Linked DNA regions of Lytechinus pictus. The protein of the gene in region 2 purifies or fractionates together with the protein of the main gene of each other region. This does not show direct contact. Links are inferred from orthologs where the notes say so. Each region holds a gene or a part of one and is shown on either strand. Other genes may lie near its edges.

The links.
Region 1: the proteins of hsp90 co-chaperone Cdc37-like (region 2) and cyclin-dependent kinase 11B-like purify together in Homo sapiens (affinity purification with mass spectrometry; 4 studies listed by BioGRID and IntAct, with this or other methods). This does not show direct contact. The link is inferred for Lytechinus pictus from reciprocal best matches to the Homo sapiens genes CDC37 and CDK11B.
Region 3: the proteins of hsp90 co-chaperone Cdc37-like (region 2) and serine/threonine-protein phosphatase 5-like purify together in Homo sapiens (affinity purification with mass spectrometry; 4 studies listed by BioGRID and IntAct, with this or other methods). This does not show direct contact. The link is inferred for Lytechinus pictus from reciprocal best matches to the Homo sapiens genes CDC37 and PPP5C.
Region 4: the proteins of hsp90 co-chaperone Cdc37-like (region 2) and src substrate cortactin-like purify together in Homo sapiens (affinity purification with mass spectrometry; 3 studies listed by BioGRID and IntAct, with this or other methods). This does not show direct contact. The link is inferred for Lytechinus pictus from reciprocal best matches to the Homo sapiens genes CDC37 and CTTN.

What each region holds. Positions count from the first base shown.
Region 1 is NC_087258.1:23,329,602-23,337,179, forward strand, and holds the start of cyclin-dependent kinase 11B-like, read right to left. Parts: upstream 3,017-7,578; 5' UTR 2,922-3,016; intron 2,709-2,921; exon of another isoform or gene 2,589-2,708; intron 1-2,588. UniProt on the Homo sapiens protein: Plays multiple roles in cell cycle progression, cytokinesis and apoptosis. Involved in pre-mRNA splicing in a kinase activity-dependent manner. Isoform 7 may act as a negative regulator of normal cell cycle progression.
Region 2 is NC_087263.1:6,062,372-6,069,471, reverse strand, and holds the start of hsp90 co-chaperone Cdc37-like, read right to left. Parts: upstream 3,021-7,100; 5' UTR 2,953-3,020; coding exon 2,920-2,952; intron 1-2,919. UniProt on the Homo sapiens protein: Co-chaperone that binds to numerous kinases and promotes their interaction with the Hsp90 complex, resulting in stabilization and promotion of their activity. Inhibits HSP90AA1 ATPase activity.
Region 3 is NC_087251.1:45,944,099-45,951,184, reverse strand, and holds the start of serine/threonine-protein phosphatase 5-like, read right to left. Parts: upstream 3,026-7,086; 5' UTR 2,981-3,025; coding exon 2,845-2,980; intron 1-2,844. UniProt on the Homo sapiens protein: Serine/threonine-protein phosphatase that dephosphorylates a myriad of proteins involved in different signaling pathways including the kinases CSNK1E, ASK1/MAP3K5, PRKDC and RAF1, the nuclear receptors NR3C1, PPARG, ESR1 and ESR2, SMAD proteins and TAU/MAPT.
Region 4 is NC_087263.1:7,026,326-7,034,028, reverse strand, and holds the start of src substrate cortactin-like, read right to left. Parts: upstream 3,012-7,703; 5' UTR 2,922-3,011; intron 1,798-2,921; exon of another isoform or gene 1,793-1,797; 5' UTR 1,761-1,792; coding exon 1,680-1,760; intron 634-1,679; coding exon 560-633; intron 197-559; coding exon 67-196; intron 1-66.

The DNA.
Region 1 (7,578 bases), on a different chromosome or scaffold from region 2:
GCCGTATGGAAAGCAATTCCAGGCTCCAGGGGAGTAAGCCTACGTATACATGTAGTAGACTTATTTTTACTCTCCAGGAGCCTCCAGGCTAGGTGCATGTGCATATGGAACTCTTACCTCAAAGATTTCTCCACACAAGAAATCTATGAAAGTTCATTCACCTGTCGAGTGTTAGTATACTAATACTAACCTCGCAAAACTTGTGAGTGGTCGAGTGCCAACATCAATTGAGTGCGCTAGTCAATGTAAACATATCAGGTTTCATTACAAGATTGGAAGACGGCAAGTCGTGAAAAATAGACGGTGAACTGGAGGGAACTGAGGTCACTGAATCTAATTTTAGCCCTCTCCATCCCCGTACTTGCCGTCTATGTCCCGCAGGCGTAAGTGAAAAAAAAACTGTCCCCATAAACAAGGACAATCTCAGTTTATCAAGACATGATTTCTCCTGGTTAATGAGGATATCTTTGTTTTCTGGGACAATCCCAATTTTTGGACCAGCGCCTCTACTGTACTGATATGATATGGAACTCTTGCCAAAATCCCTGAATCGTGTGTGAACAGTGAAGTGAATGGGTGCGCAGACATGGGGCACCATTTTTTTTTTCAATCTGAAAATGACTGGCTGAGGTTTTTTCCCAAGAAATATATTTCTAACGTTAAGCTCAGCTTATCAGTCCCACCCAAGGGTTCATTACATGCCGCCGCGCACAGAAAAATCAAGCTATAGTTGTCGTGTGTGGTGGACACCAGGGTCCCGTAACCCGGGGGGGGGGCACTCAGTAGGCCTATATAATGCATAGTGGGTATGTGCCGCAGAGGGGACCCCCATTTTTACACTCAAATTTCCGTTCCAAGGCATAGCATTTTTGTCTTCTTGAGAAAAAGAACAAAGAAAGCCGCTCCAAAGCATAGCATTTTCTTCTTATTGAGAAAAAAGAAGAAAGAAATCCGCTCCAAAGCTTCGCATATTTTTCGTTACGCCGTTCCCGTCGCATTGATCTGCTACAAGGAGCTGCAATTTTGGTGAAAAGCGGCCGCAGAGCGCTGTCCGACCATCGCCTCTGCGCAAGCGCACCCGGCGGAGGCCGTGCTAGCTGCATCATGCACGCATGCCCGTTCCACAGGGATGCATACGCACTCACACGCTGGCGATCCGTTCCAAGGACCCCCGTTTTCACAAACATTTGTAGTTCCGAAGCCCGTTCCGAGGACCCTCCTTTTTACAATAAGCCCGCTCCAAGGCCCCCGTTTTTTGTCTCGCCCGCGGCACACCCCTACCACTTTTTTGGTCGAGTGCCCCCCCCCCCCCCGGCCCGAAACACAAAACTTTCAGTTAGCGATTGATCGTACACTTGATTTTAATTTTACGAATATGATTATGTTATGTTGTAGTCCCTAGTTATACCGAGGTTATACCTGACTGCTAAGAAAGCACGAATGCCTGTGAGCAAGCAACCAGTGGACCAACGGCTTAAGGTCCTCTCCGAGGGACCTGGTAATGAGGATAAATGCCTTACCAAAGGGCACTAGCGCACCACTTGGGAATCGAACCCGGGTCACCGGAATCCGAAACCCCCGCTCTACCGACTGAGCTATCGCGCCTCCCCAGATACATTGAGTGATTGACATTGTAGTCGATGGAATCAATCGTAGGAAAATGTTCTACGTCTACGATCATTGCTAAGCTTTGTGTTACGGGTCTATGAAGTGGGGTCCCACCGTCCCAGGCTCAGCACGCCCGACCCACTAGTTAGAAATCCACTGCCAAACGCGGTTCATGGTGCGAGGTTAGTAACCTCGCAAGTCGCAATACGTGTGTGACTGTGACCACTCCTAGTACCAATGAGGTCCAACATTACATGTATGGACCTCATAGGCGACATCAGTAGTATTTTTGGTTAGAAATCTCTGAGAACAGGATATTTAAACATTATATCACAAGTACAAGCTATAATTCCTTTCTCTTATTTAAATTATAATTTTATAGTGTAAATGCATCGTTAGCAACAACAAAAAATGAAAGAAATGAAGGGGAACTTACATTTTCACGGCTTTTTCCTGATTTTCTGGGCAGCTGCTCTTTTCTTCTGACTCGCGATCGAAGCTGATATGAAGATCACGTGATTCGCGTTCTCGTCAGCTGATCGGTTGGTTATTCTTTTCGTCAGACGTTAATAATATATATTTTATAATGCTAGCATTCATCGCTAATTTAGGTGAAAGAGATTGAAGTTAAACAGCGCCAGGTCGGAATCATAATTATTTTGGAAGAGTGTATTTATACACTCGATCTCATACCTGACGTAGACGGCGCTATTCAACAAATGCACAATCTTCAATATAAAAAATAAAACAGAAAGAACGCCTTGAACACAGGCCAAAATGCCTAACGATTTCTCCGCGGCATTAACAACTATCGTAAAGGGCGCTCCATTTATCAATAAAGATGGACGCTAAGCTGTCTATGGCGACAAAATTTGCCGCAAATATTTACGAAGAATTGTGAGAAATGGTCTGAAAATGCAACAAAAGAACCGGTGAGTACCGATTAAACATTATTAAATTTGTAAATAGATTATACATACCTTGTAGATTTAGTTTTTAAGGTGATATTAGTGCTTAGTTCTAAGCTAGGGAGGCCCAAACGCGCGTGAGTGGAGTCCCAGTTTATTAGCACGGGTAAGTATTGGGGTGTCGCCTAGAGTGACTGTGACTGTGTGAGTGCATCAGTCCTGCCTCTCATGCCTCTGGTCCCATCAATTCAATTTCAGTGTCGGTTGAGTGTTTTTAATTTAAAAAAAAAGCCACGGTCTTTTCTTTCACAATCATCAGTAATCACAACATAACTTATTGTGAAATAGTCATATCAACCTAGGTCTTCCTACATTTTTAAAATCAAATCAAATCAAAGATCTTACCCAAGCGTACGCGACAGCAAAGCCAATAAGGGACAGCAACGCAACAAGAGAAAACGATTCGATTGATTGATGAATCTCGTGATAAAGCGCCATCTATTGTTCGAGAGTGTAGCAAAAAAAAATGTAAATTGGCGGATAAGGTTCTGTGATCGTGAGGATGCCTAAATCTGTTCCTGGGGCGGAATTAATCCGTTATCTCGGGGAGGGGGGTGCATGCACAACTGGCTTCCGAAAGTTCAAATTAGATGTAGATATTACGAATAAGCGGAGTGGGCAATAAACAGATGTTTTTTATCATCTCCAAAAAGTTCCACGACCACTGGAAAAATTTATCAGAGAAAAATAATTTTATTTACTTATAGCCCGAATTATTTGAATGTGCATAAAAGTCATTGATTAATCAATGACTTTCAATCTAATAAAAGGGTCATTTTCTTTTCTTGCTCCAAAAAAAAGAAGCCCCCCCCCCCGTGTTCCACATTGCTAATAAATATCATCCTCGTTATATTATCTGATGAAACGGTTTCTGACAGCATGTAGTTGAAGTTTCCTGCATTTGATTTGTTTTGTCATGTTTCTCCTTTTGTTTTGGTTTTGTTTAATTTGTGACTCTGTTTATTGTTAGAAATGTTAACTTATCATTGTAACTTATGTTCGATAATTTGTAAAAAAAAATTGTGCATTACATTATTGTAATCCCCGTTGTAATCCTTTATGTTTGGATTTGAAAAACCGTATATCACTGGCGGATCCAGGGGGCAATTCACCCCCCCCCCTCCTTGAGAGGGATTTTTAATGTAAAATTGCCGTTAAAAAGATGTGCCCCCCCCCCCATTTGACAGTGAATACCTTTATTTTGTTTAACTTTTTTTAATTTGAGGGAAAATGTGCCCCCCCCCGGCCCCTTTGAAAACTCCTGGATCCGCCCCTGTGAGATAGTAGGGCCTATTACTGGCTGACCTCAAGAACTATGATTTTATGGTATTGCTGCAAGCGGATATACTAAAAGGTGTTACACATCAAACGCAGCACCCCTTGGAAATTAGCTTGGTCGGCTAAAATGTAAAGTTATGATCTAAAACCCTTTTTCTTCGATCTCAGTTAGTAAACTTTTTTTTTTCCCCCAGACAAAATAATCCTTTTCGGGTGAAATGAACCTCGGCTTTCTTTCTTTCTTCCTTCCTTCCTTCCTTCCTTCCTTCCTTCCTTCCTCCTTCCTTCCTTCCTTTTTTTTCTTTTTCTATCTTTCTTTTTCTATCTTTATTTTTTTCTTTCTATCTATATAGGCCTATCTTTCTTTTTTGGGTTTCTTTCTTTCTTTTCAAGCAAATCAGGGTGAACTTTAGTCTTATAATTCCCATGCAGGCCCCTGCAAAGCGGGAAAGCATTCCCCGATTCTCATCATTTCTTTATGATCCAATTCAAGCAACGATGTCATACAACGATGATGATGATGACAGGGGCGGAAATCTCTCCCAAAAGGTATAGGGGGACGCAGGTGCGGATCCAGCCTTCGCCAATAGGGGGGCGGAAATTTGTTTCAGCCATATTTTTCCCCGATCGGCAGCTCGAAGATGATTTTTGTTTGTGTCTTTGAAGGGGTAGTCCTCATTATTCACCTCTTAGCTTTATTCTTATAAATTAATTTACAATATCATAATCCTTATTCATATGATGCGAGCGCGAAGCGCGAGCTAATTTTGTTGTTGTTGAAATTTTATGTATTTTTCCTAAAATTTGAACATTCTGGGCAATGTTTGTTATCCTGAAAAAGATGTGTATGCAACTAAATAATTACTACGAACGCAAAGCGCGAGCAGAAATGAACTGATGGAAAATATACCAGTTAAAGATTGCTTGCATTTAGCATTTAATAATCTAATAATGCGAGCGCGAAGCGCGAGCTGAATTTTTTTTTACATTTTCACCTAAAGAATGGAAATTCTAAGCACTTTTTGTAACTCGAGTAGAATAGTGATATAAGTAGACAATTGATGCGAGCGCAAAGCGCGAGCGGAAAATTTCGAGATTTAGTCCTAGCTATACTATTTACTTAACGGGACACTCTATTCATGTTTTGTAAATCATGAAAAGGATTAGTATTAATGATGCAAGCGCAATGCGCGAGCAGAAATTTTTTTTATACGTTTTGAACTGGTACCTGTTGAAAAAGTACCTGTTAAAGGACAATTCCACCCCAACAAAAACTTGATTTGAATAAAAAGATAAAAATTCAACAAGCATAACACTGAAAATTTCATCAAAATCGGATGTAAAATAAGAAAGTTATGACATTTTAAAGTTTCGCTTCATTTCACAAAACAGTCAGGCGCGTAGCCAGGGGGGGGCGGTGGGGGCGGTCGCCCCCCCAAAAAAAAACGTCCCCAAAAAGAAAAAAAAGGGAAAAAGAGGAAAAAAAGGAAAAGGGAAGGGAGGAAAGGGAAGAAAGGTAGCTTTGTCGGTTTTTTTTTCTTTTTATTCTTTATTTTTTTTCTCAAAAGAGAAACTCCTTCACTCTTGCTTTAAATTTATATATGAATTTTGCTTCCGCGCTGCGCGCGGTTAAATGACAATATTGAAGTTCTCCATTGTTTCCCCCACCCTTTCTCTAACTCTGCTTTTCCACCTCAGCTATATGTGTTTCTTGCCAGTTAAAGTTCAAATGTATAGATTAGGGCATGGAATTAGAGTAAGGTTAGGCCGAAGTATATGAAGTTATCTTTTTTTTTATTGATCGCGCAACTTCTGGTCGGGTCGGCTCCGGGCGGGTAAAATCTTTATATCAATTTCTGCCGTAAAGTCAACTTCTCCCGCTTTTCAGGTCATTACTAAACAACCATAATTTGGGGCAAACAGGTTCCTAATTGAAGAGGAATGTATAAAATTCGTGTCGTATTAAATAAAAAAGTACAATATTTTTTTTCAAATTCTATTAATCTTCATGTTATTTCCCTGCACATTCATCTCCTGTCCTGTTTTGCGCCCTCAGTTTGAAATTTTGAATGACACTTAGGTTTCTTTATAATTAAAAATGAAGCGCTTCAGGATAAGTCAAAGAAATTAGGCATCCTTTTTTATATTATTTTAATAAATCACAGAAGTTTCAACTTTTTGCGCACTATTTTCCTTGTAATGAAGTTCAATAATCTTAGGAAATCAATTGAATTAGAGCCGATGGGGTATTAGATATATCTGCATTTGATGAAACGTCCGCCCTTTGAAATTTCAGAGTTTTATTGCTCTGCGCGGGGAGGAATATCTTCCTCCCGGCATATACACTTCTTCTCCTCTGTTTTGCGAGTTAAAGATATGCACTGTCGCTAAATTGTTTGTAATCAAATCTGATATTTCCAAGGAAGTATTCAATATATCTTTGAGAATACCCTTTTCTCGGGACCCTTTTCATGGCAAAAAAATTTGATAAAACGCTTTAGCTTCCGCGCTTCGCGCGGGGTTATAATGATTTTAATTTCCTCCATTGTATTCCTTTTTGTGCGTTCACAATCACTTTTAAAAACAAGTTCAAAATCACAATAAAGTCAACTGAATTGGAGCTGATATAGGTACTAGAGACAAGAGAGACGGTTCCTTTTCATTTTAATTTATGAAACACCAAAAGCTTCGCGCTTCGCGCGAGAGGGGGAAACTCCCCCTCCCTGCACCCACCCCCTAGGGAGCGCGCTTCGCGCGCTCTGTAAGTGTTGGCACGCTTCGCGTGCATTTACCGCCCCCTCCAAAATGAAATCCTGGCTACGCGGTTGAAAACGTACAGTTATATGCACATATCGGTCGGTATGCAAATCAGTGAGGGAACTGATGACATCACTCACTCACTATTTCTTTTGTATTTTATATCAAATATTTTGATTTTCTCATCATTGTCATGTGAAATGAAGTTTCATTCCTCCCTGAACACGTGGAATTCCATTATTTTAATATTTTGTGCTTCAGGCAGGGAGGTCCTAATCATCAAATTCGTAAAAATTGAAATATTGTATAATTCAAACAATAAAAAACAAAAGATATAGTGAGTGAATGACATCACCGACTCTCTCATTTGGATGTAACTGGCTCGTTCATATAACTATTTTGTTAAAAATAAGTGAAACTTTGAAATGTCATAACTTTCTTATTTTACATCCGATTTTGATGAAATTTTCAGCATTGTGCTTGTCTGATTTTTCTCTATTTATTCAAATCAACATTTTTCAGAGGTGGACTTGACCTTTAAGGACTGCTTGCACTTAGCCATGAAGGCATTACATATTTTAACAATCAAAAAATGCGAGCGCGAAGCGCGAGCTGAAAATTTTTGAAATTTCTAAAGAAAGAATGGAAAATTTTAATCAATTTTTGTAGTCGTGAACAGGATAGCTATATCATCTAACAATTATTGCGAGCGCGAAGTGCGAGCAAAAAAAAAATCGAGATTTAGACCTAAAAATGGGCCACTCTGTTGATGTTTTGTAAATCATGAAAAGGATGAGTATAGGGGGTCTTCCTACAATAATTATGCGAGCACAAAGCGCGAGCAGAATTTTTTTTTTTGTGATTTTTTTTTAGTGAAACTGGATAATGATTTAAATATAAACATGCGCGCGTGTTTCTTATTTAGACCTATAATCTAGGCATTCTAAATACATCTTTAATCATGAAA
Region 2 (7,100 bases):
AAATAATATGAAAAATGACTAAAAACTCACCGATTTTTCCACCTCCGGTGACCGTCACTACTCTTGGTTCGTTCAATGGTGTTTGATCGTGACAAATCGAAAAAGAAAAAAATATCACGAAGCCATAGAGGTTCATCCACCCCGATGGATGAAACACTACTCGTGATGCATTCTGGTAAACATGTCTCGATAGCCTCGACAGATTGGCAATTTTGTTTCGTCTAGATAAACATGTTTAAAGAATAAAAAAGTCCAAAAACTCCAAATGGCTATTTTGGGGGGCTTATCTATAATATTTCTAGTACTGTATCCAGAGCATCATTTGTCTGTTTTCCTCTTCCCTTACCCTTTCTTTCTTTTTTCTTTTGAGCGTAAATTAATTCTTTTGATTTTTTATTTCTTACTTTTTTTTCAGTCTTTGTTCTTTGGTTTTTTTTCTTCTTTATTTCTATTAAGGGGAACTCTCCCCTCCTCCTGAAATTTAAGGGGTATTGAATGTGTACCCCCCCCCTCCGCCGCCTGTGACAACAATAATTCTTGTGTAAAAAAAAAATAGTGAACAAAATATTGAGTGTCAGGCAGTGGCGTACCCAGGATTTTCCAAAGGGGGGGCAAATTCGTCCGCCAAAAAATTTGAAAAAAAAAAAAAAAAAAAAAAGGTCTTCAAGTTCAAAAGAGGGGGCCACTTGTGGCTCGTCACAGGGATCAGTTGTGACTCGTCAGGGGGGCAGGGGTACGTCCCTTGCATGAGTTGTGACTCGTCAGGGGGTGCAGTCTGCCCTCCCTGCCCCTTAGGTACGTTAGTGGTGTCTGGTGAGAAAAAGACTACAGTCCCCGGATCACGGAGCTTCCTATTATTATGCTTCACCGGAAACAGGTAGGAGCTTATTGTAACCAGCTCTGTGGTCGCCACTGTTCAGTGGCTAGCTTTCTTTTATTCAGCACAAGAGGGCGTGCTGAAATACTTACGTAGGAGACTATGGACCAGACGAGAATAAGGAAAAATTTCCTTATGATTTTACCCGATTTAGAAAGAAATCTTCAATTGAAGGACGATATTTGACTCATTGGGCATTGGAATCCTGTTTAAGTAGAACCAAAATCTGCATTTGGGTCAACACAAGAATTGGTAAGTCAGACTCTTTTACTTCGCGCGTTCCTACATTAGAAATGACAGTGTTAGCGGCACTGGTCTCAGATCAGTCCCACCCCGTACATTTTTCTGTATGGCGAATGGTCGGGGTGAACCAGTGAGCACATGCACCATTTCATTTTAGTTTTACAAAGTACCGTAAGTAACGGTGTATTAACCGCACCTTTTTCTCGGCGGGACAGAATCAAAAGTCGGGGGTGCGGTTTATACACGGTGACAGGTCTGAGCCAAGCCAATCTCAGCCCGATACCACTACCATTTTTCAACTCGCGTCGGGTGGCCGAGCGTAGCCGCTTGGGGCAATCCCGTTTAGAGGGGTATGAGCCGCGGGTATAAAAGGGAAGCAACTATGACTACCGGTATCTGCCGTAAATGTCCCTCAAAGTTATATCACGGTAACAAACGCACCTACCTTCATGAAACTGACTTATTTTAATGGTGTGACTCTGTCTTTGTTGTCATTTTTTAGTCATCGCGGCAAAGTTCAGACGCCAATCGATCGCACAGCGCGGTGCAGCTAGCCGAATAAGACATGCATGTGTAATGTTTATCGCAACGTCAACGTAAGCTGGCGCTTTACCTTTCTGTGGAAGTTATTTTGTTTGACAAATTATTGGTATTATTTGACAATTAATTTCTTTCATTTGCCTTTCCTTCATTTCTCTCTATCATCCATCATCTCAAAATCAATCTTCAATCCCCATCTTCACTCCTCCCGACTTTTTATTTTTAATTATTATTCACTTTATTCCCGCCCAGAGCTCCCATTGAAAATACGGTATACCGGTACTAGCATTTTTTTTCCTATTTTGCTGTCTGTAAGATACTGCCACACACGTACTGAGAACTACCGGTAGTGGTTCAAAGCAGACAAGAAAAACACCTGAACAAAATCGCAAATTTCTCGTATCTTGAACCTTCCCGTATTCCCTTGTCTAAAATTCATGTCAAGACATTGAATGCTAGACAGAATTCTGAAAGCAAAAGTGGGGCTGTGATGCAGGAAATATGATATGAACGATCTTCTCGTATGGGTGAGCCCCCATGTTGATGCTGGTATCGGTACTTGCAATGAACACCGGTACCATATGTGTGTGTGTGAGGTGACTCGGAGTGTGGAAGTGGCCAATAATATCGGCAACTTGCAGATAAGTGACGAAGCGCTGATTTCCCATCATTTTTTACCAGTAATTCTTCGAAAGTTCGATATTTTTTGGCTCTTGACTCTTTCTTAAATACGCATATTAGAGATAGAAAGTAAGTTTGATTAAATTTTTTTTTATGATTTTTTTTTTTTTTTTTTCCATCCGAAAATGGGGGGTGCGGTTAATACACGGGTGCGGTTAATACACCGTTACTTACGGTAATACAATACCGGTACTGAACTTCTGAAGCACAGGCTTTACTCAGTGAGTCAGTCACTGTGTCTTTTTTCCAATTTAAATTGCCAGTGCAGTGCCAAATTTAAATAAACTCACATATGAGAGGAAAAAATCCTGTCGAACCTGATGAAAAATGAAGTCCGCTCGTTTGCAACACTCCCCCCACACAACTTTGGCACAAGCTAAACTCAGTCAGACTCAGAGTCAGAGTCACAAAAATCACTTTACATCAGTCCCATAAACTGAAATTGGTGGGGTTCAACAAATTGCAATAAAGAAAATGAAGACTGGCTTTGAAATTGTTTGCAAATGATTTTAATCATCACAAAAAAATACATTATGTAAAGTCACGAATGATAAACCTAAAACGGAACATAATATTACCTCAATATGATCCCACTTGCTGTAATCAACCATTTTGTCAGAGCTTCAATACTTCTGATTCAGCTTCGATCAGATATGGACGGACGAATGTTCGGGAAATCGGCTGTATATCATCAACAGCTGGCGCTAGACCGCTTGCTCTCTCTGGCTTGCTTCAGACAGTGGTTTGTCTCCCGAGCTAGCCATATATCAAAGGTGAGTCCCGGGGATGAGTCATCGGAACTGGAGCCCCCCTCCCCCCTTCCCACACACACACCCACACACACATACTTTTTTTCAGTTTCCATGTACAAAATGTCAATATTACCATCGAATAGTGATTTTATCATTAATGTTATATATAAAGAAATCTTTAAAAAATCAATTTGATAGTTTCGGACAGCGATAGAAAGAGGGGCGCACAATCTACATGATAAAGTGGAAGGTATATGGTACACAGGTTATGAAGTTAAAATTCATAACACAAAACTCCCAACTCCTTGGTAACATTGCACATTTTAGCTCATACAATATAGCGAATGAAGTGCACTGGGTTTTTCTGAAGTTAGGTAATTTTTCACCCCCCCCCCCCTAAATTTGTTTAAGGACGTTCCACAGTTATGTTTGTGTGCATTATGATCTGCGCATATTTTACACTCCGCGCGCTGACGTCACAATGAATGAACAGGTGATTAATTAGCTGTGGGTATGAACTGAATTTTCTCATCATCTGCACTCTAACTGCAGATCCGATGCGTTAGTTTATGAAGCTAAAAAACCTTAATTATTCCATGGACCATTTAAAAAAAACATCTTTACAATTTTAAAATACTTTACTCTGCAGTGCTGCCAAAAATCACAAATATGACCCCGAGTTTAAATAAATGGTAGAGTGGTTTTGATTTTTTCTTCTCATAGATACAAAGCATTTGGCGCATTTTGGTGTTTTAAAAAGCACATTTGCTCTAATGAAAATGCTGATAGTTTGAAAACAAGCACATGAAGCCCTATTTTTTAATGTTTGCACCTCTTGGGTATACCTTCCTCTACAACTTTGCAAATTTTGGTGAAAATGACATGGATTTTGAATAAAGTGCAGCATTTATTGTACTTTTGTAGTTTGTTATTGAAATTTCACATTTTTAAGATTGGGTTTTTGTTATGTTTTACGCCATTTTTAAGAACTCACAGTGCTGTTAGACTTAAAATTGCAAACAAATAGCACTATAAATAGATTATCCATTCTAACGATACACTTATAAACTCTCTTGCGAAATTTGATGACTTTTTCATGTATTTTGACTGAGTAATAGAGGTTTAAACTCATTGTAGTGATCTTGCGAGGTCTAAAAATGCCAAATTCTTTTGAATGCGCAATCCGTAAGAACATTCATTCGGGTGAACTTTGAAGCTCCATAGCAAAAAATCAAGCACATGGACCTATGTTAATTTTTGCATATTTCGAATATTCAGGTTCTAAAGTATCTATGTGCAAAGTTTGGTGAAAATGACATGGATTTCATTTTAACTGTGGAACGTCCTTAAAGGGGAAGATCTATAACCTCTCGTCACATATACTTGAGCGTCAATCCATTGCACATCACTTATAAAGAGTGTGAACATGTTCCTTAGTTAGATACGCTTCATGTTTATGATAAAAAGACAACTTAGAATATTCCGTATTAATGTCTTAATATTAAAAAACATTCACACTCGCATTGAAAGGGGCGCGATTTTAGCGCTTGCCCCGGGCGCCGTTTGTCCAAGATACGCCACTGCAATGCTCACCTTCATGCAAGTATAGCTGCTTTTATGATTTACAAAAAAAAAATGGTTATATTTGACATCATATCACTTACGTATCACTTGAGGGGGGGGGGATCATTTGCTTTTGCTTGTCCCACTTTGTGGAATAGCCTTCCTGAAGACATAAAAAACGTACGTCTGTCGAGACTTTAAAAATCTTCTAAAAACTTTTTTTTAAACTCTTTGCTCTTTATGCGCCTTGAGCAATCTACAGAGTGGATTTGGCGCTTATTGTTATCATTATTATTATTATTAACATTATTATTATTATCATTACTATTATTATTATTATCATTATTATTATTATTATTACGTACAGATGGAGGCCTGGCTTGAGGGCCATAACCCCTCCCCAAAAACAATAAATAAATAATAATAATGATGATAAATTATAATCAATTGATGGAATAGAATTTATTTTTAAATGTAATTTGAAAATTTGTGGAATATGAATAAATGAATAAATAAATAAATAAATAAATAAATAAACAAACAAATAATCAAATTAATATTAATGAATAAATAAAATAAATAAAACAAAATAAGAGTTTGAAAAATATCACGACCAAGATAAAAGGGGGGAATAAAGCAAATGTAAGGGGAAATGATTAATAGATATATAGACCGAATCTTATATGTCATCAGTCTTCTCTCATTTGCATACCGACCAGGATGTGAATATAACTATTTTTTGAAATTTAACAAAGCTTTAAAATGTCATAACTTTCTTATTTTACATCCAATTTTGTTTGATTTTTCTCTTTTTATTCAAACCAACTTTGAACTTTGTGTGAAATTTTCCTTTTCCAATATTAAGCAATTAGGAAGAAATAAAAGGGTTGAAATTTTAATTAAATTAATCAAAATCATACTATTTACTCACCTGATTTTGCAGTTGTTTATCATGAAAATTGTCGATCACAAGCAAATTCAATAATTAAATTGGTGTATATTTTGCAGTTTTTGTATAAAAAAGGTCTAGCAATAACAAATTATGTGGGAATCCAATAAATGATTGATAAAAAAAAATCGTTTTGAGGTATCAAGTTCATGCAGCCACCACCCCCATCAGTTCAAATTCAAAAGCAGGAATTACAAATGGGGGGAACCGATTCAGCCGGATAAGACACAACACCATTTTAGAGGCCATATTGTTTATTTTTGCATAATAGTCGGCCTCTCAAAATCTAATCAGGATATATCTGCACCTGGGTAGGGGGGTCCCATGGGCACTCACGTACGGCAGTATAGGTTACTTATGTGCAGCCCTTAAGCCACCCCCCCCCCCTTCACGCCTGTTATATCAGTTCCCAATTATAATCCACTGTAACCTATTATACCCGCTCTCTCCCGTCCCCAAGCCCCTATAATTTCAGGGAAGCGTTTCATCAAGATTTTCATCCGACGAGTTGTCAGATCTGACATCTTTCTCTGATGTTGATTGGCTTATTTTTTTTATTTTTTTATTTTTTATTTATTTATTTATTTATTTATTTATTTATTTTTTTTTTTTTTTTTTTTTTACAAGTACGATAATACACCAACCCGGGGAGTGTTTCATCAACATTTTCATCCGACAAGTTGTCAGATCTGACATCTTTCTCTGATGTTGATTGGCTGAGAGGTACTGTTACTATGGTAACTGTCGGATAAAATGGGACTTGTCGGATAAAACGTCCGACAAGTCCTTTCATGAAACGCTCCCCTGGTGGACTGTACTTAAACGGATGATGATGATGATGATGAGGTACTGTTACTATGGTAACTGTCGGATAAAATGGGACTTGTCGGATAAAACGTCCGACAAGTCCTTTCATGAAACGCCCCCCTGAACTTGTCGGATAAAACGTCTGACAAGTTCTTTCATGAAACGGTCCCCATGCAGGCGTCAGTTTTCACAAATCAAGAGTATAAAGACCCTCATTTCATGTCAAATTCCAGATCCCATGGCCTTTGAACTTCGGTTGCCTTTTAAAAAAAAAGAAAAACCCTGTATAAATATTGTTTAATTCAAACAATAAAAAACAAAGGATCTAGTAAGTGAGGGACACCATCGAATCTCCCATTTGCACATCACTTAGTTGTTTTTCTATTCTCTGAAAAATACATATATGCGAAACTTAAAAATTTCATCCGATTTTGATGAAATTTTCAGCGTTGATATGCTTGTTTGATTTTCTCTATTCAAATCAACATTTTTTCTGGGGTGGATTTGACCTTTAAGGGCACTGTTTTGGATTTTGGGGCCGCAAACCTCCATCCTTTCCCATGCAGTCCAAGTGGCCCACTGGCATACAGATAGCTAGGGGTTTGGAGGCCATGCCCCACCGAAAAAAAAGTTTCACGACCAAGAAAAATAGAGGAAAAAGACAGAAAGGGAAAGGAAAAAGGGATGA
Region 3 (7,086 bases), on a different chromosome or scaffold from region 2:
AATCAACACATTGTGTGATCACTTTAGACCCTTCTTGATGGCAAAGGGCTGTGACGTAGACCTTGTTGAGGTTGAGTGGATGAATCTCAAACAGCAAATTTTCCAGCCCTCGCAGAAAGAGAAGTTCCACCATCTGTGGAAGAATGTTCTTGTTTACCAGGAAGATGTATCCCGCAACTTGTGCCAAGTCATAAGAATACTGCTAGTCCTGCCGACATCGACATCTCAGGTGGAGAGGCAATTCTCAACCATCAAGAGGTGCCAGGAGGACTGGAGACTAAGTCTCAGCACTTCAATCATTACAGAAGTATTAAGGATATCATCAGAAAGTCCAACACCATCAAAATTCGATCCACAGGCTGCTGTGCAACGTTGGTTTCTTACAGGTATTGCATCAAGACGGCCATTTGTCCAGCCCTCTGGAAGTAGAGTCTCTACCAAACGAACAGCAGATTGGTCTTCAGAGAGTGATGGATCTTCTGACTGAAGCAGGCAAGAGGGTTTGTCGCGCCTTGTTGTATGAGTGATGTTTGAAATTATTATGTGAAATTTTGGGGAAATAACCCGGTCTCGTTGCCGAGTCACATGCCTCGAGTTTGAGTCCGAGACTGAATCCGGCATAAACAGACTCGAGTCGCACATCACTGTGTAATATTGGGGGATTCCAGCCCGAATGGGCTTCCTTTGTAGTGGAAACAGCCAGGCCAACTTTGGCGTTTCCAACTACTGAACTGTTGTCATCTGCTGCTGGTTGCCTCATGGTGGACCCAGATCGAGTGCCGGGTGCAACTCTGCTGGAGATGACCAATCGAGAGCCAGGATTTGGCATCACGTGACCGAGGTTGGAGACGGCGACACCATTTTTGGAGACCCCTTCAGATGTACGGAACCAAACCTAAACGTTGAACTATACTATTGCTGTTGTCACTTTTATGCCAGATTATTGCTGATTTGTGCTGTATTTATTGTTGTCATTGGATTCATCGTGGGATATCACTTACGGTGAGTCTACTCATTTATTGTATTCGTATATCAATGTGTATTTAGTGTCATTTAGGCTATTTTAGTGCATCTCATAATTGTTCGACTTGAGCACTCGAACAACACCTTCAAAGTTGGTGCAAATTACATATTCGCGTTTTAGTCAGAGGCACACAGCCAATATGGGAGACTGTCTCCCATGTTGGAGATTATCTCCAATATCAGAGACTTTTGTCAAGAATTTGGGTATCCAATTTCAGAGCAGAGACAGTCTCCAGTTTTGGAGGCCTATTTCCTTTATTTACATTTCCTGCAAAAGGGTTACCTTGGCAGAAAATGGAAATGTGATAAACAGATTCTTCTTGAAAATCATCCCTTTTCAACATCTACTCTTGCTTTCATAAGGAAGCTGAGGCTTAGCCTGAGCCCCACCAATTTCCCGGGGTAAAGCTTAGCCCAGGCCCGAGTTTTTATTTTAAGGCCATGAGTAGTAAGGTATTAGATTTGCGTCCGAAAATTTTTCAAATGACATGAGGCTTTTTTTCATTATTCATTATTTACTTCTAGTACCTACTTTTGACGATATTCTTGCTATCTACTTGCATATAGTGTATGTAAACATTACTGTACAGTGGCAAATTGTATAGAACGGATAGCGGTGCGTTCAACGCTAGCAGGCGTGTACATTTTGCTTATTACATGACGTCATCCAGCCACTGCCGAGAGCCAATTTATGAATGAAAATATAGTAAGCATGCGCATTGCAAGCCTTCCATAGCCCCACACAGTATTCCACCAAAACAAGTGTGCAATTCTCTATCACCTTGTACCAAAATCAACCTAGAATTTCACTTTCCTATATTATATATGAATTATGAAAGGTATTCTTGGAGGATCTATTTTCTCACCAATACCGCACAGGTAAGTGAATTTTGATTACTTCTTGCTTTTCGGTCAAAATCTTACGAATTAGCGTCGATATGGCATCGTGTTCGTTGGAGTTTGTAGAGTCTATCGCAACGTGTACAAAGTCAATTGATTTCCGGGTTTCGGAGCGTCGCGTGAATATGCATGAAATTGCCGAGTCTCGATAATTTTTGATCGATACTGGAGCGATCCGATCACGAACCAAGACCATTTCCTGCGTAGACAATGTGACCGGATATCGTTATCACTATCGATACTTTCGCACGCAGTCCGAAGGAATTATTTTGGCGACAACGTAGTCATGAAGTGATCTGCTTGTAATTTCGTGATGGAGAGTAAGTGATGGAGAGTAAGTAATGAATTTTTTTTGAAATAATTAAATTTTTTTGAAATAATGAAATTTTCATGCGGGCGGTGGATGCAAATCTAAAACTTTCATTCTCTTGGCTTAATTTTTTTTAATAAAGAAAAAAAAAATTGAAGAGCCCATTAGGGCGGTTTTGTATTGTTAACCCCCTAATGGAGGCTGCACGATTGCAAGCCGAGTTTGAGGGGAAATCAAAAATTAAAAAATGTCAAATTCTCCTCGAAACAGCCAGCTGAGAAATTTGTATCATAAAAGACATTATTATCAAGCAAACTAGACTAGAAGCTCCAGTTTCTATTTGTTGGGTGTTCTTCTAGTAGGAGATATTTTAAATGTGAAAAAAAACATATTTAAAATTCCTCCAAACAGACGGATTTCTGATGCCTACATGGAAACGTGATATCTCGTACTCGCTTACGTGCGTAAGAAATCGCACGCGTTGGTATAGGAGCCGTACGGTACCGGTTCCTATATACATGATATATCAACAGTTTAATGGCACTTCCCTTCACAGCAACGTTCATTCCTCTCAATTGCACTTTTAAAGTTCAAGAAATTGCATGATTTACCTTTGAAAAATGTATTAGCTTTATCTTTGAGAGCCTCTGCTTTTTCTCTGTCGACATCACTGATCTCTGGCTTGTCTACTATTATGTCAGGAATCGCATTTATTTTCGATGAATCACCGGTACCTGCCATCTTCATCCACGTGAAATCTCTCCATGTATTTTTCCGTATTTTTCTAAATTGGAGTACGGTATCTTCGACGGACAATCAGAAATGAAAAGGTTGTGAAGCAATTTTATGGTTGTGAAGAGATGAGAATCTTTTATGAGTTCAGGTGTAATGTTGATTAACAGTTTAAGTATAGACAAGCAAAGTTTTTCTTTTGCTCATACATTTTAGAAAATTTATGGAGTGAAGTGACTGCATGATGGAGTAAACAATGGATAACAACTTTGATTTGAAGGTTCTTTTTTTCCTTTTTGGTAAACATAATATATAGCCTCTGGAACTGCCCCCCCTTTGAATATTGCCATCCACGTTTCTAACTTACACCCCTACACTTTTCTGTCCTCTTTCATCCTTTCCTTTTATCTTCTCCTTATCCTGCTTGTTTAAAAACTAAACTCTTCTCTTCCACTAGCTATACATAGTTTTTTTCTCATCTTATTCTTCTTCCTCATATTCATTCACCACTTCATCTTCTCTCATTGTTCTTCTCCTTCATCTCCTCCATTTTCTTAAATTTAATTCTTTCTTTTTCTTAAATTTAATTCTTTCTTTTTCCTTTCTCTTTCTCATTCCCCTCTCCTCCATTCTCTCGCTCATAAAAGTGAAAATAATTTTCCAAACTTGTTATGAAATCAGGAAACCAAAAATAGTTACAGAAAATGCTAAATACTTCACAGGACAAACAAAAACTGTATGCAGCATAACAGACTTAAATTAACATATTGCAATACTTCATTTATTATTGAACAGGGTGCAATTAAAAAAAGGGAAATTAAATTTCTAATATCTTAATGAAAAAAAAAAAAGTTGGTGATAGTTAACAATAACGACATTAGTTTTGAGGGCAATACATCACTTAACATTATTGTTCTCAAAACTGTAGTTGGTTCACTTGCACACTAAGCACATTACAAGCAACAAACATTAAAAACATGAAATACGTAAAGTCATTAAATCACATTTGTTCATTAATGTTTTAGGAATTTCAATCTTTATATAACTTTTTACAATAAACCCCAAGAAATTTCAATCAAAAACATAGAAATAATGATTCCCTGAATTAATTTTGATAGTAAAGAAATGATATCCGATGCATTTGGACAGATTCAGAGTTGGTCTGTTCAATGGGCAATGGAAGGGAAACATGTGCTATAAAAAAAAAACATATCTATACAACAATGGTGACCCTGGGGTCCGTTGCAGAAAGAGTTGCGTTTAAACGCAAGTCCAAAAATCAATCACAAGTCCCAAATGCGCGCTGTTGATTGGTTGAAAATCAAGTTGCGCATGATTTTAGAGTTGCGATTGATTGCAACTATTTCTGCAACGGGCCCCTGAAAGAGTTGCAATCAATTGCAGAAAGAGTTGTAATCAATCGCAGAAAAAGTTGCAATCAATCGCAACTTGGGGCAACTTGGGGCCCGTTGTTTTCTTGGCGATTCAGTATGCCCCTCTTCGTTTACAAAAGGACATTGTGCAAATTTCTAGTGGGAACAATTATGATATTGATGGATTTCTATATAATTAAGGTTGATCGGATGAATTAAGGTTGATCGGATGAATCACAACTCTTTGTAAGACGGGACCCAGCAGTCATAAAACCCAATTGATGTATCATTCAAATACCAATAAGGTGTACTTTATTGTGATTTAATCATTTCATTGTCACTGACTTCATTGTTTTCTCACAAAAAAAAATATACAAAATTGGTTTTCTCCTTTTGACACCATTTACTTTGGTATATTGCAATAAGTATTGTGAGAAAATAGAATGCATGTTTTATGAAATGCCATATATCTTTCCATCAAAATTCATTATACTGAATTTATATTACAGTACTAAAAATAAGCATATAATCAGAGTAACTGATAATTTAATCAGTTTTAAAACTGATGAAAAAGATGGAACTTCAACTACCACTGTCAAGGCAATCTGGAAATGTTCGCTGTCACAGAAATATTTTAAAATCAGAGTACCAAAATTGAAGTAAAATACCCATTTCGAAAGAAAATAATAAAACATCTAGGTGTGAACCCCCAACTATTTTTTACCATGGGTAACGTGATGTCCATTTAGTTACTTTGCTTATCTTCAAGCTCACAAAATTGTATTTTTCATGCATTTCAATATATTGAAAATGTTATAAATATAAAACACATTAAACTGTACTCATATCATGCAGCATGTGTCGTTCACTTTTCTTCCTAGGATAATTAGTGTACATAGCAACCATGTTTGATTACATGGTTTAATCTTTGGCAAACCATATTACATTATTCTTACAATGTTCAAAAGGAAAATATCAAATGTATAATAGATTACCAGCACATTTTCATTTGCAACAATCGAGATCTTTAAAATGAAATATTTAACAATAAATAAGCTCCATAAATATCGTCAATTATTATTTTCTATTATGATAAACTTATTTGAAACATGAGGAAGACTAGTCTTTATTCAGTGTGCAATCACTAAGATCAACAAAATATTCTCGGCAACAACAAAATATAACCATGAAATTTTATTCTTTCATTGCCAAAAAATGTGTGTGCTAAATTTCATGAGCATTTCCTGAAAAGCAAGTGATTCATCCCGGGCAGTCTCACTTGCATTACACAATTCAAGTATAGCAGCAGTGTTGATTTTGTGATATTAAAATATCATACACTCTCTCCGCTCTCACTTTAATTTACTCTTTGAATATAAATTATTGAATTAATCTAAGATAACTATTGCCATGGTCCTGCTGATTGGACCAAAAGCCTCTTTCATTGGGCTTGAAACTTTTTTATATTCCTTTCAATTTTACAAATTTATGCAGTAATAGAAAAGTGGGTCATTTAGAAAAGCATCCTGGCAATGGAAATAATTGAATTTAAATCCTGAAATTTGATAACATATTCATACAAAATTATGAATTCTCAAAGTGGCAGCATGAACTTGACACAATTATCTTCATACAAGATTCAAGGAATACAAAAAAATAATTGGATTTGATATTTTTTTTAAATAAGGAGGAAACATTATTGCTGGCTCCCGCAAGAAAGGGACTTGGGGTAATTTTCACGATTTTTTTTTATTTCAAATATTGAAAGAGCACATTGTAGGCTATCCAATGATGTAAAGGTTGATTCTAAATTTCAAGTATCACTCAAAATATCATCAAATCAAAAAAGGGAATAATAAAAAAATACAATCATAAAAATAACCACTAAGTCCTTTCTTGTGGGAAGCCAACTTGATATAAGAAACACGCAGAACTACAAGTGTTATTGGACATGCAGTGCAAAGAAGATTTTTTTTCGATATGTGCCGCACTGTGCACAAACCTTAATGGGAGTGTCCAGTGTGCACCATCAGGAGAAAATATTAACTGAATTTGAAGTAAATTAATGATGCTGCCCTCATCATGAAAACCGGCACTGCTCTCACTTCTGCTATGCAGGTGAGACAATGAGAAAATACCTGAATCTGAAAAAAACATTATTTACCTGATATATTACAGCAATTACGTGGCACCTGACCACCCCCAAACAAAACCAGGATCTGGGGGGCGTTTCATCAACATTTTCGTCCGACAAGTTGTCAGATCTGACAACTTTCCTTGATAATGATTGGATGAGAGTCACTGTTACCATAGTAGCTGTCGGATAAAACAGTACTTGTCGGATAAAATGTCCGACAAGTCCTTTCATGAAACGCTCCCCAGAAGACACCCAAGATAATCAGATATCTTCTCTCTCAGTAAGGTACCTTATCAGACACTAGGATATGGACATTCTTCTCACAGCTCATAATATGAATCATGCTTAGGGGTTAAACTTGCATATTCTCAAAAAGAGATGAGAACATTCAACTCCTAGTTGAGTTGAATTCGATACCAACCACTGGCATTCTCTTGACACTAAGATGCAGCCACTGTCCTCCACGTTCAGTGTTGCCTTTGACACTAACCAGTGGTATCTCTTGACACTAAGATACGGATACTCTTCTTCAAGTCCAGTGTTGCCTTTGATTCCAACCACTGGCATCTGTTGACCCTCTGACACAGACACTCTTCTCCAATTTCAGTGTT
Region 4 (7,703 bases), about 960 kb from region 2:
TATAACCAGCTTTATGCATTCCCTAAGGTTTATATATCATAGCAAATTTAACCCTTAGTCCCATACCTTATCCATCCTGTCCTGCTGAACGCCAAACTTCCCTCCATATCCGTACGAAGCTTTGGGAGCAGTGGCCTGTTCCTTTTCCTTTGTCTTGGCATCGTCTTGCTTCACATTCTCTCTCAGCTCATTGATACTGATGTAAAATTTTAATTTGAAAGTATTCAATTATAGATAAAAGATGAATATATTATATTGCAAGCATTCATGTTTTTTTTCTAAATTTCAGCAAGCTGATACAGGAAAACATGGAGAAAATATTTTTTAGAAGAGTGAGAGTTACAAAAAAATTAGATGATGAAATTAAAGTTGGAGAGAGAAGAGGAGGACAAAGAGAAAGAGGAGAGAAGACAACAAAAAAGAGGCAAGGAAAATGATACAGAGAAGAAGAAATTTATAGAGAAAGAGAGAAGATCAAAACAAAAATGAAAAGAAAAAAAAGATGAAGTAGAAGATGAAGAAAACAGAAAAGAAGAGGAACAAAGGAAACCTTACTTACTTGAGAGACCCTTGCCTTCCTGATCCTTCAACAGATTTGGACCCCCATCTCTGTTCTTTTTCACTCACATCGTTCTACAAAAAATATAAATTAAATACAAGTACAATGTATATATATGATTTATATTGATATAATAATCATTATTATCATTATCATCATACTAATAATTATTAAATCAACTATAAACATTACTTTATAATTATTATCAATATGCCTACTATAATCATTTTTCATCTGCATCATCATTCCAAACTATCATTACAATCACTACCGGTATTATTGCTTTTATTATTATAATCTTTATCATTTTTCTAAATAATTTCAAGTACTACAATATTTTTTCATCATTTTACACCAGAAGTATTATTACTCTAGTAACATCATGGTAGTTCATCCTGAAGATTATTAAAGAAATATGTTAGAGAAGGTTTGATGAAAATCCATGGAAGAAGAAGAGTAATATTTTTTTTAAGTTTTACATTTGTGACATCATATACAAGCAGCTTCTCCATATGTCTGGAATACAAATTCCATAAATTCCAATTTTGGAATTGAACATGATGAATACAAATTACTTTCCTCATACATTAGAATGGATGTGAAATATTCACCTGCACAGGTAACAATACATTTTTTTGAAAATGGCATTTGGGGAATTTATCACACAACATATATGGAGGAGCTGCTCGTCTGTGACATTACAAAATAAAAACTTTAATAAAAACTTCATAACTCCTTGACATATTTCCATCAAACCTTAAACAATAAATACTATATTGTTTTCTGATTTCTCTGCCTTCAGTAACATCAATCTATTATCAGTGTGAAGTTCCCTTTCAATATGGGAACCAGACTCATTGATTCAACTTTTGCAGTGATACCTGCTGATCTCAGAACAGCGGAGGAACTGAAACGAGAGAGAGAGAGGTGGTGGTAGTGATTGTTTTTACTTGCACGCTGTAAGCAGTTTTTTATTGAATAATGTACATACACTTGCACGCTGCACTTCACCAGTACGACAATACACCAGACGGTGGACTGTACCGTTTCCAGAAGAAGAAGAAGAAGAAGATTAAGAAGGAAACAATTCAGTAGTCAACAGATAAGGCTTATTACTCACCACGAAATCTGGATCAGTTTCCCAATCGTCATCCTCTTCCTGTGCGACATTCACATTGTTTCCTACTTGGGACCTCCACATCTTGGGTCAGTTCCAAATTTTCTCTATTTTACCTTTTCTTTTAAAAGAGCAAGGAAGAAAAAAAAAGATGATGAAGAAGTAATCAATGATGAAATAAAAGTGGAAAATGAGAAAAATAATCTATGTAAATGCATAGAATCTACAGAATAATAGCAAAACAAAAAGAAAAGAATGTGATCATTCAGTTTTTAAGAGTTCCTTTTGGATCTGGATGTATACGATGCAGGGCCCTCCTGGGCATAAACGTATCGGGTACTTGACCTGGATTTTGCCGGGACCGGCAGGTGCAATACACCGGGTGAACACCCTACTCTTTGATGAATAGTGTATTGGTTTTAACGTGCATAGCCATAGGTTGTACCTCTCCTAGGCTATAGATAGTATACACGGGACCAACATTTGCGTCCTTTCCGATGGACGGAGTGTTTTTCCATCTGTATTCAAAGTTTCAAACCTGCACTGAATACAGTGGTGAGGCACGCTAACACACAACGCTATAGCATCAGACTTGTTTTTGTTAGACGCGTTTCGGCACGAGCGGGACTCGAACCCCTCACCTTGAGATCTACGATCTTAAAATTCTTATCCGAAATATGCGCTCTAATAACCGACTGAGCTACGCTGCCTCCATAGATTATTTTGCGACAGCCAGCCCAACCCTAGGGAAATCCATCTTTGTTTACAAACTTTGACACACAGCTTTTTATTATAATATTCCACGTATCTCTAACTTAGTCTAACATTACTTAGCCTTCGTGATAAAAAGACTAATATTAATCATCAGACAAGACAGATCACTATCGACTTTATCGTTGTAGGCTAGTCTAGATCTACTGAAAATTCGTATGTTTACAGGCGAACAACATGATGAACCGGTCTACTACCACCAAAATAACTAAATATAACACGTAAATCTACATTTAGACCTGCAACAAAAATGTTACTAAATAAATTGATCTATTTCATAGCAGACTCTATATTGCAGTCCCACGTACTATTTTTGGTGTAATGAGGAAGTACGTACCTGCACATCTAATATCATTCTACTCGTTCAAAACACACACAGTGAACAATATTTCATCTTAAATAACTGCAAAATATAACAGGATATCGTATCGAATATTTATAAGGCAACTTAATAACAAAGAAATAACATTTTACCTTGTAAACGGTGTAGCTTTCAACGCCCACTGAAGTTGCGTCGATACGGTAGTGAGCAGATTACTTCCGCAATTTAGACTGTGCTACAGAAATGATTGTCCGCGCCGCAGCTACGTGCCTTGCGTGGTAATGTTATACAGAAGGCCATAATTTGTAAAAAAAAAATGTTCATTTTATTGATTTGACCTCCGACTTTTGTTGGTGCCCCCCCCCCCCCCACCTGATGACATCAATATAAATTATCGTTAATTTAGGTAGAGATATGTCAATAATATTACATAGGTTATGTTGGGGACAAACAATGAACATTAATTTGTGCACCAAACCGTTATTTATCATTGCATCTTTATGGTCTGATACACATTGTCCTGTCTTCCACTGTGACGTCACTCTTACCGAAAGCTCGATTCAAACATTTTTACAATTTCTTTCCGAAAATAAATGTTTGGCCATTCTATCAGTTAATTTTAGCACCCCCTCTCGGTGATGTTTTATTTTCTACACATTCATTTAGTGCAACGTTTCATGAAAGAACTTGTCGAGTGTTTTGTATGATTAACTAACAGTGACCACTATAGAGCCAGCTAGGCAAGTTGTACGAAGGGGCGGGTCCAGGATTTTCCAAAGGGGGGGGGGGGGGGGCACATTTTCCCGATAAAAACTTGATAAGCAAAAAAAAAGTCCTCACTTTCAAAGGGGGGCACACTTGGGTAAAAACGGCATATTTATATTACAAAATATTGATTATGGCTCTCAAAATGGGGGGGGGGGGGGGGGGGGCACGAGCCAGATGTGCCCTCCCCCTGGATCCCCCAATGATTGTACCTCAATCAAAATAAAAAAAAGTTGTCAGATCCGACTTGTAGGATGACGATATCATGATTATTGAGGAGTGATGTAAATACCGAAATGGGGATAAAAAAAATTAAAAACAATTGATAAATAAAATAAATACCCATTTTATCGGGATTTGAAATAATTATCTTTTTCTGGTCAGTGATTTGCTATTAAAGTTTGATTGTAGAAATGAATGAAGTGAATTGAAATCACGAGGTTTGTTTCATAAAGTTGGATGTCACATTGAAACGCACGATTTTTTTATATTGGGCCGCGAAAAATCATGAAAACGAATAAAATTTTGTAAAAAAAGACCCTTTAATTCGCATTTTCGATGACGATAAAACTCCCCTTTGTGTATCTAGACGCCCGAAGGTTTGCATCAAAAATTGGAAAGAAACATCTGAAATTAAGTATTTGTCAGTCTTGTGAACAAGTTAAACACTAACCCCGATCTCGACAGGATCTGCCCCAAGGGCCCTTCAATCTACCCCATCCACAGGAATTCCACTTTGAATGCCTTGGACTTCACAGAATAGAAAGCGTATCTAGAGGGAACGACGGGGGGGGGGGGGGTGTTTTAAGGGGTGATGACCAACCTACAAAATGAAACATGAACATAACAAATGACCATATAAAAAAGTTTTAATATATTGAACACATGTACATTTCATTCATAAACATAGATCTTTACATAAAAAAAAAACACACAGCATGATTATGTACAATAACTTTAAAATGGAATCTGAGACACATCCCCGGGGGGGGGGCACTCAGTATATAATGCATAGTGGGTATGTGCCGCGGAGGGGACCCCCATTTTTACACTCAAATTTCCGTTCCGAGGCATAGCATTTGTGTCTTATTGAGAAAAAGAACAAAGAAAGCCGCTCCAAAGCATAGCATTTTCTTCTTCACGAGAAAAAAAGAAGAAAAAAATCCGCTCCAGGGCTTCGCATATTTTCCGTTACGCCGTTCCGGTTGCAATTTTGCGGCCGCAGCTCGCTGTCTGACCATCGCCTCTGCGCTAGCGCGCCCGTCAGTAGTGCCGAAGCCCAGCTGCATGCACGTTCCATAGGGATGCATACGCACTCGCACGCAGGCGACCCGTTCCAAGGACCCCCGTTTTCACAAACATTTGTAGTTCCGAAGCCCGTTCCGAGGACCCTCCTTTTTACAATAAGCCCGCTCCAAGGCCCCCGTTTTTTGTCTCGCCCGCGGCACACCCCCACCACTTTTTTGGTCGAGTGCCCCCCCCCCCGGGGACACATCAATATGTCACAATCACACTACTTGATCTATACATTTAAAAACACAATATATGTATAATAACTTTGAAAAAATAATCTAAGGCCCATCAATGTCATACTCACACCACATGTACATTTTTCTTCATAAACATTAAAAAAAAACAGCATAATTATGTACAATAACTTTGAAATGGAATCTGAGGCACATCAATGTCACAGTCAGTCACATCACTTGATCTATACATTTAAAAACACAGCATATGTATAATAACTTTGAAATAGAATCTGAGGCACATCAATTTCACAGTCAAACCACATGTACATTTTTCTTCATAAACATGGATCTATACATTAAAAAAAACACACAGCATGATTATGTACAATAACTCTGAAATGGAATCTAAGGCACATCAATGAAACAGTCACACCACATGTACATTTTTCTTCATAAACATTTGAAAAAACACACACAGCATAAATGTATGTACTTTGAAATGGAATCTGAGACACATCAATGTCCGTCACATCACTTGATCCATACATTTTAAAAACACAGCATATGTATAACTTTGAAAAAGAATCTAAGGCCCATCAATGTCATATAGTCACACTACATGTACATTTTTCTTCATAAACATAGATGCATACATTAAAAAAAAACAGCATAATTATGTATAGCAACTTTGAAATAGAATCTGAGGCTCATCAACGTAACAGTCAAACCAAATGTACACTTTCCTTCATAAACATAGATCCATACATTAAAAAAAACACACAGCATCGTGTTCAATAACTCTGAAATGGAATCTGAGACACATCAATGTGACAGTCACACCGTCACACCACTTGATCTATACATTTTAAAAACACAGCATACATGTATGTATAATAACTTTGAAATAAAATCTGAGACACATCAATGTTACAGTCAAACCACATATACATTTTTCTTCATAAACACAGATCTATACATAAAAAAAAACATACATAGCATGATTATGTACAATAACTATGAAATTGAATCTGAGACACATCCATGTGACAGTCACACAGTGATACCGACTCAAGACTAACACAATCTATTTAGACCACCGCACGTCCACGGTCCCATTTTGGAACAAATCGCATTTTGCTCATTTTATATTTTTATTTGAGGTTCAGATTAACTGTGAGAACATTAATATAACAAATTTGTATGATTGAAAGCCTTTATTTTTGAGTAAAATGAGTAAAGTCCAAATTAGTTTCAAATCGTGCAATTGCTATGATGTCATTACAATATATTAAATCCGCTTTTATTCTATAATAGGGATGATAGCATAGTCACATATTTGAACATAGGTATTCGTACGATGATTTAGAACATTTAATCACAGTACGATCATATTCTATGTCTCAATATAAGCATCAAATTCTACTACGTTTTGTTCCAAAATCGGGTCGCGGACCAATCGTCAGGTGTGGCCTGTACATCGATTACAATAACATAAAATCGGTCCGTTTGGAGTCGGTTTCGTTGGTGTGATGGTAGCTGTACACATGAAATAAAAACCACATGTTCTTTAATACACTCATACATGTGTTTGTATACAATGTGAATCTGAAATCACTTTGGTTGAAACAGCGAAGAGGGGGAAAAATCAACACCCCAACTGTTTCATTTCTTGAATCGTTCTCAAATGATTAAACAGGACTGAACGTGTTTCAGACAGAAAGTGTTATCTTTTATCCATATTATTTAAAAGCACGTCCAAAAACACCTGAAAATCAGGAGCTGTGGAATAGGGGGGGGGGGCGCTGGGCTGGGTGGGATTAAGCCCCCCTCCCTCCCCCACTTTTTTTCTAAAACCGTTGACAAAAACGTAAAAATGATCATCTGATTGTGTTGTTTTGCATGGTCAGCTCCCCCAACTTTCAAACTTGTTCCGCAACCCCTGAAAATGTATGTATATATATATATATATATATATACAGGCGTAACATAAATCGATGTCAGATCAATAGATGCATAATTTCTTCACTAAGAAATACAGTTAAACTACGCGTTACATATAAAAAAAAGTATTGAACTGCAGCTGCAGCTTTAAAAGCACGTCGAATAAAATAAAAAAGACGATTTCTAAATTTAAACAGTTATAATATCTGTACGTGTTTTATACAGAAAGAAAATGTATGCATCTACATAAATCAAACTCTATTGTACATTAAAAATCACGCCAAATGGAAGGCGTAACATAAATCGATGTCAGATCGATAGATGCATAATTTCTTCACTAAGAAATACAGTTAAACTACGCGTTACATATTAAAAAAAGTATTGAACTGCAGCTGCAGCTTTAAAAGCACGTCGAATAAAATAAAAAAGACGATTTCTAAATTTAAACAGTTATAATATCTGTACGTGTTTTATACAGAAAGAAAATGTATGCATCTACATAAATCAAACTCTATTGTACATTAAAAATCACGCCAAATGGAAGGCGTAACATAAATCGATGTCAGATCAATAGATGCATAATTTCTTCACTAGATAAAGAAATAAAGTTAAACTATGCGTTACATAAAAAAAATCATTGAATTACAGCTGCAGCTTTAAAAGCACGTCGAATAAAATAAAAAAGACGATTTCTAAATTTAAACAGTTAAAATATCTGTACGTGTTTTATACAGAAAGAAAATTTATGCATCTATATAA